4 linked regions of the Rattus norvegicus genome follow. The protein of the gene in region 1 interacts with the protein of each later gene in a pairwise test. Links are inferred from orthologs where the notes say so. Each region holds a gene or a part of one and is shown on either strand. Other genes may lie near its edges.

Region 1 (4,379 bases):
AGACCTGAGGTCTTAGGCGCTACCCAGGTCCACCCGGATGAACTACAAAGGCAGCATGACCCACAGAGCGCAGCCTGTTCACAACCAGGGAGGGTCCAGAAGAACAGAAAACAGCTGAGTCAACAGACTAGAGAGGGGTTTTAAGGGGATCTAGGGAAGGCTCTCAGTATGAGAAGGATTTGAAAGCAAGATTTAGATGGATTAGTACCACCGAGCACACACTAACCACACCCACAGGAGATAGTGCTCCCTCCTGAAAGGAAGAATCAACCTGACCAGGCAAAAGCACTCATCTTCAGCCACCAGACCAGACCTACAGGGAGCAGGAAGGGCAGGAGTTCCTAACCCTAGGGGGTGGAGGTGTCATCCCCAGGCCCTGAGCCTAGCAGCTGGGCCGATGCCCAATGGAACCAGGCTATATTGCATGCTCAGGCTGAGGCGATGGGGGGGCTGGGGCACAGCGTGCTCAGGCAGGGGACTTACCCGATGTCATCTCTGTAGACTCGGGAGATAAGCACCTCCCCCTTGTGATTATAGATGAATAAGCCTCCGATCATGGCGGCAGCTCAGTCTCTGTGACCCATTGCTCTGAGAACAGACCTAGGTAGGAAAGGTGGGGATAGGGAATGGGGAAATCTTTAGATCCCTTGCCCATCTCAGCGGGGCTGTACAGGGCTGCCTTTTTTCCTGACTCAGTCCTCTAGCAAGTGACCCTGCAGCCCTCCCAAGGAAGCCCCGCCTGCACGCACAGCGAGGCTCCAGTTCCTGTTTATTCCACACTGGATAGGAGACAGTACTTTAAGTGTGGGGCCCAGGGTTAAGGCCATTTTACTCAGTCTTTTCTGAGGGCTGAGCTTGAAAGTAACCACCCCCCCACCCCCACTCGCACCCCTCCCCGTCGTCTTCACAATGCTGAGCTCAGCTAAGATTCTTTTCAAACCCCTGCTGTGCAGACTCTCACTCCCCGCAACTTCAGTGAGTCAGAGAAAAGCTTGCCCGCGGATGCAGGAATGGCGGTAGGGATTAGGCGGTAGGAGTTAGCTTGTGCCCGCCACCAGGCATAACTTTTAGAGCAAGCACTATTCTTCCAAGAAGGCAGCAGAGCATGACCGTCTACAAGGCTACACATTCCAGGAAAGGGTGTGCAGAGTGAGGTGGGGGTGGGAGAAGAGGCCCTTAGGCTCTAACACAAACCCAGGAATGTGGCTGAAGCAGGCTCGTCTTCCCCAGGCAGTGAGATAAGCAGGCAAAGGAACAGAGAGGCCCAGGGCGAACAAACCACGCTCCAATGCTCCCAAGTTCTTCTTAGAAAGATTTCATTTTTACCTTCACATAGGTATGCCAATGTGTGTGCTGTGTGTGTGGAAGTCTAGACGTCAGGTGGAGCCCTGCCCTCCATCCCACAAGCCTGAGTTACAGGCAGTACTGAACCAAACGACATGGGCTGAGACCTGAACTCAGGTCTTCTGGAAGAACAGTAAGGACTCTGAAATGCCAAGTCCCTCTTTCCTTTCTTTTCTTTCTTTCTTTCTTTCTTTCTTTCTTTCTTTCTTTCTTTCTTTCTTTCTTTTTGAGCCCCCTTTACAATTATTTCTGGTCACTGTCTTATCAAAATTTCAAAATGTGACAAAAATTAGGTCTGTATGTAGCATTAATCCTGCTAAATTGTGACTCCAGAGCTGCCAAGTCAGTCACTTCTGGCCTGGTGTTTACTAAGCAATGGGCAAGGTAACAGAATGTCTCAACTGCCCAAATTCATTTGGGTCAAAATTAATTTAGAATATTTAAGAAAATAGGTTAATCTGGTTCTAGATTTTTCTGGATTAACCCTGGTATTAATTTCACTGATGTTAGTCTAACAAGACTTTCTGAAACTGAAAAGTTAACCCTTGAAACCCAGTCACAAGTCAACTAAGGTAGTGGACACACTTGTCTCACAGTTCAAAGAAGGTGAGAAAGAAAATGCAAAATGGAGGTTGTCCCCTGAGCAAAGGACCAAGTCCACAGGTATCAGCCGAGGGTGGGAGTGGTGGTGGAGGTGGAGGTGGCTGTGGTTGTGGTGTGTGTGTGTGTGTGTGTGTGTGTGTGTGTGTGTGTGTGTGTGTGTTGTGTCCTGGACAGAAATGGAATATTTAGTTAAGGGACCGATTAGCTGTAATTGCTAGCAATAGACCAGGATGACCCCACAGCAGCAAATACAGCTGTGGGAGTCCCTCAAGTTCTCCTATGACAAAGGTCATAGGAGCTTTGGAGGAGCAAAACAAGGCGAAAAGATAGACAGTAGAAAAAGAGAAAGCTGAGAGATAGGGCCTACTCTTCTTTTAGTGAAGCATGAGGGGTTGGTGGAGTTTTTCTCAGCAGAGGGGGGAGACATCTAGGCCGAGGAGATGTCACCAAGGGATGCGGGGGCTGTCATAGGTCTGAGGTAGAAGAGCAGTGGGGGGTAAACCAGGAGGAAGGAATCTCTCAGTGTTCCAGAGAGACCTGTCACTGTCCAAGGGAGTGGCACCAGGGGATGTCAATGTCCTGGGGGATGGGAGAATGGGAAACCTCGGGGTTGAGCGGTTGTCAGGATTCTAGGGATGGGGCGCCGCGCGGGGTCCCCGGCTCTAGGATTCCGGCCCGAGTCTCCTCCCGGAGACGCCCAGCGGGTTACTGGAGGGCGTCGTTCCCCGCCCTTGCTGCAATCGCGCCCAAGGCACCCCCGCCCGGTCGTCTGCTCCCTCCCGGGTCTGGAGGCTGAGGCCACTCCCGGGTGCGGGCAGTTTTCCACCCAGCACAGTGCGGGGCAGGGCAGGTGACCACGGCACCCTCGCCGCCCGGTAAGGATCTCTAAGTCAAGCTTCCCAGCTCACCTGGAGTCAGCAGCCCCCACAAGGCAGGCCTGGCCACTCTCGGATCCCAAGATGTCCGCCCGCCCCCAGCTCGCCTGTCTGCTGCCTCCGCTTTCACTGCAGTGCTCCCGCCCCGCCCCGCCCCGCCCGCAGCTGCGCCTGCGCGCTCACCTCCAGCGGCGACTACAAGTCCCGTCAGTCTCCGAAGCTTTCAAGCTGACACATCCGAGTGCCCTAAGTCTAGCAAAACTACAACTACCGACAGCCTTCGAGACAGAGTCGACGTCGGCCTCAGTGCGTCTTGCTGGCAACACGGGTCATGGTACGCTCCACAGACTATTTGCTTCACTGAGAATCACGGGAAGTGTAGTCTCTGTAATCCTTCTCGTTCCTAGTTAGAGGAGGTAGGCTTTAAGAGACCAAAGCTGTTTGTTGAAACCAATTGTAAATTTTGAATTATTAGATTTTTATTGTCTCCAGATTTCGAAGAGTGGCTATATTCACTTTACAAACACAACTTGCATAAGCCCGTTACTGCTGAATTTATTGCTTTTTAACACATTTGATTCTCCCGAGGTTTTATATATATTCCAGGATAGGACTGAGCCCTTTCTCAGGGATAATTATCCAAACAGAAAGGCTGGGAAGGAAAGCACTAATTCTTGGTAAAACATTAGTGTTTTTCTCAGCAAAATCTGTGACTGTGGTGTGCTGGTGACATATGCCGTTAATTCCAGAGCTCTGAAGGCAGAGGCAAGAGCATCTCTGTGAATTTGAGGCCAGCCTGGTCTAAATAGGGAGTTTCAAGACATCCCAGGCTACAAAAGGGAGCCTGTTTGTCCACCACTCCAGTTTAGTTGGGCATGGGATTTTAAAATCCCATTTCTCATCTGGGCAGTGGTGGCACATGCTTTTAATCTCAGCACTCAGGAGGCAGAGGCAGAGGCAGAGGCAGGCAGATCTCTGAATTCAAGGCCAGCCTGGTCTATAGATCGAGTTCTAGGACAGCCAGGGATATACAGAGAAACCCTGTCTCAACCTTAAAAAAAAAAAAAAAAGATTTCTTATGATATCCAAACTGAGAATGAGGCAGAACCAACCCGAACACAAACGGCTGTCTGATTTTTGCCAAATCTAGAAAAGTTGGTTTTTCTCTCAGTGGACAGAGACATCTGTTGCCTAAACAGGCCAGAGACTTCTATGGCAGAAAGGAAGGGGTGGGTGTTCAAATCTGGTTGCTAACCCTACTATTCCTAGCAACCTCCTTCCAGAAGCCAAAACCCAGAAACTTGTAACCTTTGAAGGCTTCATGTCTATCTTCACAAAAGCTTTCTCTTCCCAACATACCCTAAAAGTTTAGAGTAAATTAGTGATAACAACAACAACAACATAGAAATAGAAATAGTAATAATAATAGCTACCATTTATTGAGCACCTACTCTATTATGTGCCAGGCACTGTGCTAGGCACTTTTCGTACAATATCTAATTTAAATCCTCACAACAACCCTGTGAGGTAGGTATTATTATCATCATTTTACATATG
Region 2 (4,192 bases), on another chromosome or scaffold:
AAAATAACTTAGACCTCAGATCTGGTATCTATAGGCCCTAGGAAAAAAATCAAAGTAAAACACAGTTTTTTGAAAGGAGAAAGGGATCTCCCCAAACTTAAAAAGATCTAAAAGACAGTTAATACTCCCTTACTCACATCAAAGTTTGCTGAGTCATGAATATTAATCAACTTGGAATACGCAAGTATCTACAGTGTACACTGAGTTTAAAAAGGATTAGTCTAATTTTAGGGAATTGCCTTTTACTCAGTCATGGAGCAGAAAGTGAAGTGGCCAGAACACAAAATCTATGTTATTTGGCTTTTATTCAACTGTTAACTCTATACTATCAAAGAATCCTGTCTCTGCTTCACTCAAATCTATCACTGCTATGGCCCATAGGCCCATAGGATAAAATGACAAAAGTCAAAAGAGACTTTCTGTTTGCTACCCATATGTGTAACAGAAAACATGTCCCTTTGCAACCACTTCATACAGTTAATTTGAACTGAGCACTGATCTGTCCCATGTCCCAGCTGCGCATGGCTTCCATGCTTCCTTAAACCAAAAGCAAATATCTTATCTTGATCTCACACTCAATTGAAGAATCACTTTTCAAACTAGGAGTGGTTGTGGATGCTGCTTTTAATCCCAGCACTCAACAAAGGCAAACCTATCTCAGTGAGTTTGAGTTCAGGGCAGCCAAAGCTACAAAGAGAAATCCTGTCCCCAAAAATCAAAGCAAAGAAAAAAAAAAAAAAAAAAAAAGGAAAAGAAAAATATGATATAGATATATATATAGATATATATATACATATCTCACTTTTCTTGGAATTTAACATTTTGGGGTGAGAAAGATACAGATGAAGGCTAACATATCAAGAAAAATAGAACTAACAACTTATAGAGTACTTTTTGGTTTTGTTTGGGTTGTTTTTTCAGTCTGATTTCATTCTCCACACTAGTTTTGAACTTCAACAATCCTACTTCAGTCTTCCAAGTCCTAGGATTAGAGTAGGCACCACCATACCCAGCCTGAGGACACTTTTAACAAAGGTAATACAAATGTGGGGGAAAGGAGCCCCAGAGCCCCATCAGAGCCCAAAAGGAATTAAGAGACTTTTGCTACAGAAAACAGAAATGTTACAAAGACATTCTTCTAGTAAGAAAAAAAGTACCAAGAGTTAGGAAAGTGACAGGGAACCTTCTTCAGCTATACAAAGGATAGATAGGTGGACCTCAATGAGGATCCACAGGAGTACAAAAGTACCAAGACTTAATTGAGAGGCTAAATTAAAGCTAGGAGATATGTGTACCCATAGGCACTGGGTGAAGAACGTGATCAGAAAAGGGGAAATTGCCATGGCCTTCACAGTGGGTAACTAACGGGTCAGTTGAAGTGGGGGTAGGAAACACCTACAGAGGCGGGGCAGACCCGTCCCTTTTCAGCTACAAAAAGATACAATTTCATAGTAGTCAAAGTTATTTCCAAGGGCATGAGAAAGTAGAAAGTTCTACTAGGGTAGGGGGACAGACAACCAGAAGAAACATGAAGGAAAAAGGAATCTCATCTCCCATCTAATGCTATGAAAATTCTTCTTCTCCAGAATGAAAGGAGTAAGAGAGGAACCAAAATTTCCAGGACAATTCCATCCAAAAAAATGCAGAAGAGGTTCAGAACCCCACAAGATCAGATGAAGAAAATACCTGAGGGGTGAGAAGAATCAGTCTGAATCTAAATTAGGGGTGAAGGGGATCCAGAATGGACTCAGATACAGAAGATGGGGTGGATAATGGATAGAAAGAAAAAACAAAAGTTCTGGTCTGGCATGGTGGCTCAATCTATAATCCCAGAACTGTAACCCTAGGCTGAGGAAGGAGTACAGAAGAGTTCAAGTCCAGCCAGGGAATCTTGTCCCAACCACACCCCTCAAAAAAGTTCACAGGAATCAAATCTTGGACAAAGAAAAAGCTGAAATAAGCAATTCTGAAAGCTACTTTTTTCTTTCCAAAAAGACTGTCAACAAGCAGAAATCAGAAGAACAGAAGCATGTGGAGATGGCCTTTTAGAGATGGTGAGGCTTAAACTTACCAAGAAGATATAGGAATGACCTAAATACATCTAGAGTCAAAGAGATAAAACACGAATCCATCCCTGGAGAGCTGGCTTTGGTATAAAGGTGTGGTAGGTGACAGACTTGTCCAACAAATCCACTAAATGGCTGGCTGGCTGGCTGATAAAACCTGAGGCCAAAGATGCTAAAGTAACAAATGGGTTCTGACCATTTCTTGTCAGACTGGGAACAGGAATGTAAGATGAAAGTTGAGCAAATGGTTCTAGAGCCAGTAGGCAAAGAAGCCTCCCTGAAGACCGAAGACCTAATATGGCACAGTGGACCTTCACAAGGGGGTCATGTAGGAAAAGAAAGGGAATCCTCCATGTGCTTGGCTGTAGGGGAGATGTGATTAAAAGCTGAAGTATCTCCTACACTAAAAAACAAGAAAAGTCGATTAGAAGCTAAGAAAAGGGGTTTCTCCAGGGTTCCCATCCACGCATAGTAATGACCTGATGTTCATGCCTTCAGCTGAGGATAAAAGCAGGTGTAATAGCGGGCTCAAAAATAAAAGCACGAGGGTTAACTCCCACGATCTCCCCGGGAGGGTTTCGAGTGGGAACGTGGGTCGAAGGTTCGAAGGGTCAGGACTAAGCTCCAGAAACTCGATCCCGCTGCACTCTTCCCTGCCTCGGCTGGGGGAGGGGGCTAAGGAGTGTGTCCCGGGTCGACGCGCCGTCTCACCTTGTAGAAGGCCCCGTTGGAGCCCCGCACCTCGACGGGCAGTCCCGGCTCCACATCCCCCCCAGAGGCCAGGCCGCCCATGGCGCCGCCACCACCTCCGACTGCCCCGGCAGCAGCTGAAACAGAGCCCTGAGTGCGGGCCGGGCCGGGCCCCCGGCGTCTCCCAGGAGGAGGAGCCGGAGGGGGAGCCGCGGGGGGCGGGAGCCGGGCCGGCCCCACGGCGGCCCTGCTACAGCCGACGAGCAGGGGGCCGGGGCCGGGCCGCTCCCCGTCCGCCGCCGCCGCTGCCTTGGTCTCCGCCACCGTGAGGGAAACGGCCGCCGCCGCCGCCGCCTTCGTCACCTCAGCTTCCGCCCGCCGGCGCCCCCGCTGCTGCCTCAGTCCCGGGACCCGCTGCTGCCGCTGCCGCTCCACGGCCTCCACCTCCCCCTGCCGCCGCCGCCTACTGCGCAGGCGCACAGGGCACCCGCCCGCCGCGCGCGGAGCCGGAGGGCCAAGGCGCAGGCGTCTAGGCTAGCGACCTAGCTCCCGCTCGCCAGCGCGTCAGGGCTTCCACATTCTCTTGCACTCTCTCACGCCCCCTCCTGGTCGCGTCTCTGCGCTTGCGCAGAACGAGATGAGCGCTCTATCTGTACCGCTCCAACCTTCCACTGTCCCTGTCCCTTCCTTTCCCCGCCCCACAACACTGGAAGCAAACCAATCAAGGGAAGAGAGGGGCCGCGCTCGCTCCGTCGGATTGGACTTCCGCCTCCACAAAGTGAGCCCCCATGGAGCCTGGGCAATTTAGGGATGGGCATGCGCCGGAATGACTGCTTGGTCACTTTCACCACCTTTGTCTTTCTCGGTGCGCACACTCCAAAGGGGGGCTGGGAGGGTTGGGACCGAAAGGAAAAAAACTGCCCAGTGCGCAGGCGCTGGGCTTTGGTGTCCATGCGCATGTGTTGACTCTCTGCATCCGTAGGAGAATCAAGAGTCACGGTTCTTGGCTTGAGTAGATTTTTTTTTTTTTAAGTTTTGTGAGACAGGGTCTCCTGTATCCTAGGCTGACCGTGTAGTGCGGGAATGACCTTGAATTCCTGATCCTCCAACCTTCGCCTCCCAAGTGCAAAAATTACAGGCATGTCATTTCCATGCTTGCCCTAAGTTGATTCTAATATTCTAGTAAACTCAATGCCCTGTGAAAAACAAAGTGCCACATAACCTGATACATAAATGCTGAGGAGATTCAAAACAGGAAAAATTGTCACAGAGTAACTAAAACATCCTGGCCTGGAAAGATGGCTCAACTATCAACCTTAACAACTGGAGTTGTATTCCTAGACCCACAAGATGGAAGGAGATATCCCCCACCTCCTGCAAGTTGTCTCCTGACCATCACACATATGACATCATTCATGGTCACCCACACATATAAC
Region 3 (4,298 bases), on another chromosome or scaffold:
TGCTCGTCTGCTGTGGGGGAGTTGTGATCCAGGGCTTTGTTGCCCAAAGTGTGGTCTGGCAGCCAGTGGGGATCCCCACAAAATGAGGATGGATAGGTTCTCTCCCATACTCAGTAAATCAGATTTGGCTTTGATCACATTGTTCAGTGTTTATCACAGTATTTGTCTGTCAAGAGCTGAAATAGTGAAGAAAGTGTTTAAAAGTATACAGAGTTACTATCAGGTGCTAGTATTTCCTCTGAGTGGAAACTCAGAAAGAAAACAAACAAACAAAATCACACTTCCAGGTAGATCTGTTTATCTGTCAAATGTGAAAGGACTGAAAGCCCTCTCTATCTCTACCTTTGTAGATAGATACACATGCAGTGTGCGGACGGTCCTACTTGCAGTCTCCAAGGGCTAGGAGCAATGGCTGCGGCAACCCCAGAACTGGCCCACTGGAGGCTGCATATCCCTCCTACATTGGGTTTCTCCTTCCTTACCTTTAGGTTCAAACGTTGGTAGTCACTGGCCTTTGGCCTCCGAGTGACTTTGGATCTTTTTCCTTCCAGGGCAAAAGCAATAATCTGAGGGAAGGACAAAGAAAACAGATTAACATTTGACTCTGTAATGAGGGACTTCACTTCCTGAAATCAGAAGCAGTTACCTAGATCCACAAAGAGGACTATTTAAATTACACACACACACCCAAGATTTTAAAGGGGGCTTGGTTACAACAAAATCCTTTATACTGCTTAATAGGGCCCAAGAGATGGAGGCTGAAGCCTGTGGAAATCTGTATGATTTAATTATGGGAGTTAGAGGTCTGCCAGTTCTCTTGCCAGAGAGTTCTAGGTCAGGTGTTTAAGGGGGAAAAATAATGACGGTTTCCTAGCTACAAACACATGCTTTGCTCCCACACAGTTTCAACTTTTCTCTAATTTACTGCTTTCATCATGAACGTTTAAATGTACAACGAAGAATGTAGACTCTTCATTCTTTAGAGCCATATGCCCAATGGCTATCACCAACTGAATTCTTCAATAAGTCAAGCTACTGAAACTGTCTTCTAAATCTCATGGCTCATTAAGAAATACAATAATTTTGTCATTAGAGTTGTTTGTAAGGTTGTTTCATGGGTGGCACTTTAACCCCAAAGTTGGGTGCATTTATGCAATCTCTAGGCTTGCTTCTGACTCTTGGTAGCAGAAGAGTCATTCTTGGGCTTTATACTACTGGTGTTAGAGACTATGTAACTGAAAATATTCTTCCTGCCTCCAGATGGAAGACAGTTGGAATAAAAGCTAGAAATGGTAAACTATCTCAAGCATGGAAAAGGGGAAGAAATCTACCTGTCAAGAACTTGGGTTCACAGAGGCTGTGAATAATCTGAGTTCCAAGTTACAGGAGGGGAATCACAATTAGGTCAGGTCAAGATTCACGTCCAACTTGGCACTTTACAGCAGAACTCTGAGGAAACGGGTCACATGATTTACAAAACAAAACCCAGAGTCCTAGCAAGGTCTAAGGAAAAACCGAAGATGATCTTAAAATCCTCTGAGCTCACAGGCAGATGAGTGACAGATAGCTGCCCATGTACAAAGAACTCAGGGTTCTGGACATTCCAGTCCCCTCTTACCTTTCGTTTGTTGTGGTAAGCAATATAGAGGACAGCAACAAGAACAGCAGCGGTCACCAGATAAGCAAAGAAGTGGCTGCTTTCTGCACTGGTGTTTCCAGAATTGTCCTTATAATGGTCATCCTTCTCATCCTTCATAGAATCTGTAAGTGTCCCCTCTTGGTTCTCACTGGAGGAAGGGCCCAACACCTTTTCATTCTCTTCTTCAAGTGGTGAACCTTCTTCGGGCTCTGTATCACCCTCTTCAATCTCCTTGGTTTCCACATCTTCAGTAGGCTCTGAAGACTTATCTCCTTTCTCTGGCTTTAAAGAGAAGTCAGAGTCCCCTGCCAGTTTTTCCCCAGATTCAGTTTTGGAAATAAGTGTTGGTTTCTGTCCTTTTTCAGTTAGCTGGACTTTGTCAATTTTTGGAGTCTCTGTATTGGAGGGGACTTTGGAGGTGGGCTTGTTAGAATCACCTCCTGTGGGCTTGTCATTATCACTTCCTGTGGGCTTGTTAGAATCACCTCCTGATGTCTTGTCAGAATCAACTCCTGTGGTCTTGTTAGAATCACCTCCTGTGGTATTGTCGGAATCACCTCCTGTGGGGCTGCCTGAATCTTTTGTAAACTTCTGACCTGACTTTTCCTGTTTGGGGTCCACAGGCAAAAGCTGCTGCAAAGTTTCCTTCAATTTGGCATCTGCTGTTTCGGGGTGCTTTTTGGAATCATCCAAATTGAGATTGGTCGCAGATTCCACCCCACTGGAAACTGATGCCGAAGTCCTAGCCACCGTCTTGTCCTGGCCTTCTTTATCCGACTCCAGCCTCTGATCAGTCGGTCTGTTAGTCTTTACCTGTTGAGAAATATCAACCCCAGGAGGCAGGGGCGTGGAAGGTTGAATCGGAGGATTATTTTCACTTGATGTGTTGTTTGGCTTAGAAGCGGATGGCAGAGCTCCTGAAACAGAAAAAGCAGTAAGTCCACGTTAAAAAAAAAAAAAAAAAAAAAAAAAAAAAAAAAAAAAAAAGGCCGGGAGAAAAGAAGGGCTTGACTTCTAAGACCCTAGCGGTGATGGCCGAATGGAAGAGCAGTGGAGATTGCTAGAGGAGGGTCGGGTCAGGCGAGAAAGACGACAGCTCCCGTGGCGACCCACCAAGGTGAAGAATGGGGAACCTAAGGGAGAGAATGACAAGGGCTTGGGGGGGTATCCTTACTCGCCACCGCGACACTCAGCAGGAGCAACGCAACCAGGAACTGCATCCTGTAGTCTGCGCTTCCGCCCTCTACTGACGTGAGAGGGGCGCAAGGTATTTCCAGAGCGTGCCCCCCCCCTTTCCGGCGGACTGTTTCTCTTCCGGCGCAACCCCGCCTTGGGGGTGGGGTTACTGGGTGTCGCCAGTCAGTGACTGTATATTCCGATAGTGTGCCGGAAATCAAGTCCAGCTCCCCCCCCCGCCCCGCCCCGGCCTGCCCCCCAGCTCCCCTCTCTATTTCAGCAGTCTGGGGAGCTCGGCAGTCTCTTTCTTGTTCCCTTGGCCTCGTACTTCAGAAACTGTCCGACAGGCAGGTGCTGCGTCGCCTCTCGCTGCTTATGATGTGGGGTCGGGGCCGGGAGCCTCTTTGTCGCATCCTCTGTTCATGTTTCTAACCTCACCGTTGCTGGTAGTGCTTTTCTCACTTAACACAAAAATGTACTCTGTTCAGCTCTTTCCCATCTAGAAACAAATACATTTCATCCTGATCCCAATCCCTTTTCTTGGCGGTACCCAGGGCCCTCTGTATTTACCAACGTTTTTTTTTTTTTTTTCTCTCCCCTGAATTTCTATGTGTTTGAAACTATATTGTTATGTGGGCAGCCCCTGCCTCCTGAGTGTTTGGGATTATAGGCGCCTCGCCACGCCCCTATTGAGCTATTTATTTATTTAAGAAATCAGATATCAAAGATTGATTTTTATTTGTGTACGTGTGCCCGCCACCTGTGTGCAGGTGCTTTTGGAGCTAGATGAGGACATCGGATCCCGTAGAGCTTCAGGCGTTTCGAACAATCTATGTGGTGTTGGAAACTGAACTCTGCTCCTGTGGGAGAGCAGCAAGTCCTGAGCCATCTCTCCAGTTCAGGACATGAGGTGCTTTGTTGCCCAAACAAGAAGACCTTGAATTTCTGATCTTCCTACTGGATTACTGGCTTGTATCTCCAATTTATGTAGTACTTGAGATCAAAATTGTGACTCTGTGCACACTAGACAAGCACTCTGCCTCGCTCAACACAACAATGTGTGTGTGTGTGTGTGTGTGTGTGTGTGTGTGTGTGTGTTCTTTTTGGGACAGGGTTCTTATGTTTAACACCTCTGCTGTCCTAGAACTCACCCTGTATTCCATGCTATCCTTGCACTCCCGGAGATCCACCTGTCTCTGCCCACTGAGTGCTGGGATTAAAGACATGCACCACCACACCTGGCTCAAGCAACACATTTAAAAGCAGAATTTTAAAATAACTATACCTTTTTTTTTTTTTTTAAAAGAGAGCCAGGTGATGGTGGGACACACCATTAATCCCAGCACTCAGGAGGCAGAGGCAGGCAGATGTCTGAATTTGAGGTCAGCCTGATCTACAGAGTGAGTTCCAGGACAGCCAGGGTTACACAGAGACACCCTGTATTGAACAACAACCATAAAAGACATCTTTAGGGTCTAGAGAG
Region 4 (3,477 bases), on another chromosome or scaffold:
CTGTACAGCTCATTCACAGGAAGCCTCAAACAGGTAACACCACACCATCTTGTTCCAGGACTCAGGCATGGGTGGAAAACCATTAAAGGTTTTCTTGACCAAAGAAGCCAAGACGGTAATTACCGTCAGTGAGGAGGGTGGGAGTGGAAAGGAGCACACAGTGGGTGGCCTTTTCTGAGGTACTCACCCACACCTGTTTCATGCTTTAGTTTGAAGTGACATGCCATCGAGATTTGCAATTTTGGGAGGTTTTTTGTTTTGTTTTTAAAGACTTATTTATCTTATGTATACGAGTACACTATAGCTATCTTCACACACATCAGAAGAGGGCATCAGATCCCATTACAGATGGTTGTGAACCACCATGTGGTTGCTGGGATTTGATCTTAAGACCTTTAGAAAAGCAGTCAGTGCTCTTAACCCCTGAGCCATCTCTATAGCACTGGTTTTTTGTTGTTTTTTTTCTCCACTATGTAGACCTAGCTGGTCTGGAACTCACTATGTAAATCAGGCTGTCCCAAGCTTAGAAAGCCCAACTCTGCCTGGAGTAACATAGTCTGTGTACAATGTCGAGGCCTAAGGAGCAGACGCAGCACAGACTTACCCTGGCTTGTGTACAATGTCTCTCAGCACCCGCACAGCATCGTCATTGCTCATGTTCTCAAAGTTCATGTCGTTTACCTGCAAGGAAGGGCAGTGGGTCACAGGCAGTGTGCAACAGGCAGAGCCTCTGCCCAAGCCAGCTGCCAGTCAACACACCTGCAAAAGCATGTCTCCAGGCTCGATCCGCCCATCTGCAGCCACCGCTCCCCCTTTCATGATGGAGCCTATATAGATGCCTCCGTCACCACGCTCGTTACTTTGGCCCACAATGGAGATACCCAGGAAGTTGTATTTCTCTGTGGAGGGAGGCCATATGAGGGGACTGAGCCCCAGAAACCCTGAGACCCTCTCCTTCCCATCTGCCATCAGGACCCTCCATACCCATGTTGAGTGTGACTGTGATGATGTTGAGAGACATTGTAGAATCTGTGACACTGCTGAAGGATGAGGTCTGCAGAAAGAAGACAGGGAAGATGTGAACTGCTCCCCATCAACAGAGACATAAGCCACAAGCCTGTGTCAGAGGGCCAGCTAAAGTAAAGCCTACTTCTCCCAAAAGAACCCTCACCCTCTCCATGCGTGGCGGCCGCTGCTTCCTTCGCCTTCGGTGGCGCTTGAGGAGGCGGGAGGCACTGCTCTGCTCAGTGGAGCTGCTGAACCTGATAGCAATTGAGAGAGAAGCAGAGCATTTGGGGGTGGAAGTGGTCAGGGAGTCACAGGAAACAAGAAGATTGGCTAGGAAGGAGGGAGGACAAGGGGCGAGCGCCTCGGGCGAGGGCGGGCAGAGGAGAGATGTGTGAAGCCATACCTACTCATGCTGTCATCCTCATCTGAATCTCCTAAGCTGGTACTTTCCAGTTCGCTGGTCATGAGGGTGGAAGAGCTCTCATACCCAGCCAGGTGGCGCTCCAGCCTTGAGGGGACGCCAGGCCTGTGGCCACCAGCTGTGTATAAACAAACGTGTCAGGAGCCAGGCCTCCCATTCTTCATGCTCGGCATGCTGAGGCTTGCCTCCCTGCCCAGCTCACAGTCTACCCTGCCTCCAGGGCCTGACCCCTCACCGCCATGCTCACTGCTGTCTCTCCTCCTAGGTCGGTCTCGTCTCAGTGATACGACGGATTCAGTTTCTGTCTCAGGCTCTAGATTTTCATGGCTACTGGATACATTAGGGCTACACAGGTAGAGAGAGTTTCAACCAAAGTCAGAAGGACAGAGCACCGGATCCTCAGTCTCCCCTCTTCGCTCCCCTCCCCTGGATTCAAAACCGTAAAAGACTCACTGGAAGGATGGAGGCCTTGAGTCCCCAATGCCACTGGTCCTTTCTGGTGGCAAAGGGGGTAATGGTGGAGGTGGAGGAACCAGTTCTGTCCGAGACTCATGGGCAGGGGGCGCTGTCTCAGGCTGGGGGCTCTCTGATGACACCAGCTAGGGGAGTGTAAGTGAGAAAACATGGCTCCACTGGGAAGTGCTTTACGAGAAAAGAGTAAAGGAAGAGGACCAGAAAGAAAGGGAACAGGGTCCCAGAGACCTGGGCCAGTATGCGAGGCTACAGGAAGAAAAGGCTGAGGAATGCTCACTGCATCCACAAGTAGAAAAGAGGGAAGCCAGGGCCACCAGTGACTGAGCATGCGGGGGTGGGGGTGTGTGGGGTGTGCCGAGATAGACTGAGGTTGGAAGCAGCTTGGTAACGAGTCCCTTACCCAGGAGACAACCCTTCCATTGAAGCAAGGTAGGCGGGCACTGTCGTCAGAGATCTCTTCCTTCACCACCCTGCAGAGAGAGAAGAGCCATTACTAAGAGCCAGGTGTGATAGGGTACACCTTCAACTCTAACACATGGGAGGCCGAGGCAGGAGGCACTCAGTGAGCCAGGGTTTTACACACACACACACACACACACACACACACACACACACACACACACACACACACACACAGAAGCTGGATGGTGGTGGCACGTGCCTTTAATTTCAGCATTCTGGAAGAAGAAGTAGGTAACCTGAGTTTGAGGCCAGCCTAGTTTACAGAGAGAGAGAGTACCAGGACAGCCAGGGCGCCACAAAGAAACCCTGTCTCAAAAAACAGGGAGAGGGGATTAGTAAGGCTAAACTGGTCACCCCCATTCCGAATCTCATTCCAAGTCTCTCCCAATCTCCATCCAGTCCAAGCACAGCAGAGTTAGTGTGTGTGTGTGTGTGTGTGTGTGTGAGAGAGAGAGAGAGAGAGAGAGAGAGAGCCAGCGAGCTGTATCCCTGAGAGAGAGAGAGAGAGAGAGAGAGAGAGAGAGAGAGAGCCAGCGAGCTGTATCCCTGGTTGGCCTCAAACTCATAGAGATCTGCCTGCCTCTGCCTCTCCATCCTGGTATTAAAGGCATATGTCACCAAAACTAGCTATGCCGCATGGCTAGCATGCCTCACCATGCCTGGCTCCTCTGCTTTTACAGTGAAGTAATCCCAGACTCTCCTTATTTTATCCCAAGACCCCCTCCTCCCCCACTCATCTGTAGAGGCACAGTGCCGCTAAAAAGACTTCTTCCCATTTGATCCAAACCTCATAGTACCACTCCAAATTCCCTCTGGGACAGTTCCCAACAACTGCTCCAGATACCTAACTTAGGAGTCTGGCTGGCAGGCAGCCTAACCGTCTCTGTCCTACACATCTGTCCCATAAAAGCCTCTGGTCCTCATGTAATCTGCTGCTGTTCCTCTGCATTTTAGTTCTCTCTAATTCACATCCAGAACCTGCCCAAATGTGTGGCTTTTGCTGGGTACAAACACACTAAATGCAACAATAATACCCCATGTGTGGAAAGCTCCCACGAATAGAGGAAGCTGGGCTTCCCATTTCCGGCTGCCTCACCTCACTAAGCAATCTG

The links.
Region 2: the proteins of Ap2m1 (region 1) and Fxr2 interact in binary tests that used the Homo sapiens proteins (3 or more experiments, as listed by UniProt). The link is inferred for Rattus norvegicus from reciprocal best matches to the Homo sapiens genes AP2M1 and FXR2.
Region 3: the proteins of Ap2m1 (region 1) and Tgoln2 interact in a two-hybrid assay, tested with the Homo sapiens proteins (2 studies listed by BioGRID). The link is inferred for Rattus norvegicus from reciprocal best matches to the Homo sapiens genes AP2M1 and TGOLN2.
Region 4: the proteins of Ap2m1 (region 1) and Dvl2 interact in a two-hybrid assay, tested with the Homo sapiens proteins (2 studies listed by BioGRID and IntAct). The two-hybrid records come from large-scale screens. The link is inferred for Rattus norvegicus from reciprocal best matches to the Homo sapiens genes AP2M1 and DVL2.

What each region holds. Positions count from the first base shown.
Region 1 is NC_086029.1:93,865,598-93,869,976, forward strand, and holds the start of Ap2m1 (AP-2 complex subunit mu), read right to left. Parts: upstream 2,884-4,379; 5' UTR 2,856-2,883; intron 601-2,855; 5' UTR 558-600; coding exon 484-557; intron 1-483.
Region 2 is NC_086028.1:54,848,354-54,852,545, reverse strand, and holds the start of Fxr2 (RNA-binding protein FXR2), read right to left. Parts: upstream 2,878-4,192; 5' UTR 2,859-2,877; coding exon 2,778-2,858; intron 1-2,777. UniProt on the Homo sapiens protein: mRNA-binding protein that acts as a regulator of mRNAs translation and/or stability, and which is required for adult hippocampal neurogenesis. Specifically binds to AU-rich elements (AREs) in the 3'-UTR of target mRNAs.
Region 3 is NC_086022.1:106,226,391-106,230,688, forward strand, and holds the start of Tgoln2 (trans-Golgi network integral membrane protein TGN38 precursor), read right to left. Parts: upstream 2,873-4,298; 5' UTR 2,860-2,872; coding exon 2,814-2,859; intron 2,557-2,813; coding exon 1,619-2,556; intron 567-1,618; coding exon 483-566; coding exon of another isoform or gene 339-482; exon of another isoform or gene 1-338. UniProt on the Homo sapiens protein: May be involved in regulating membrane traffic to and from trans-Golgi network.
Region 4 is NC_086028.1:55,225,174-55,228,650, reverse strand, and holds part of Dvl2 (segment polarity protein dishevelled homolog DVL-2), read right to left. Parts: intron 2,374-3,477; coding exon 2,304-2,373; intron 2,029-2,303; coding exon 1,883-2,028; intron 1,775-1,882; coding exon 1,665-1,774; intron 1,548-1,664; coding exon 1,412-1,547; intron 1,263-1,411; coding exon 1,172-1,262; intron 1,055-1,171; coding exon 985-1,054; intron 900-984; coding exon 760-899; intron 682-759; coding exon 605-681; intron 1-604.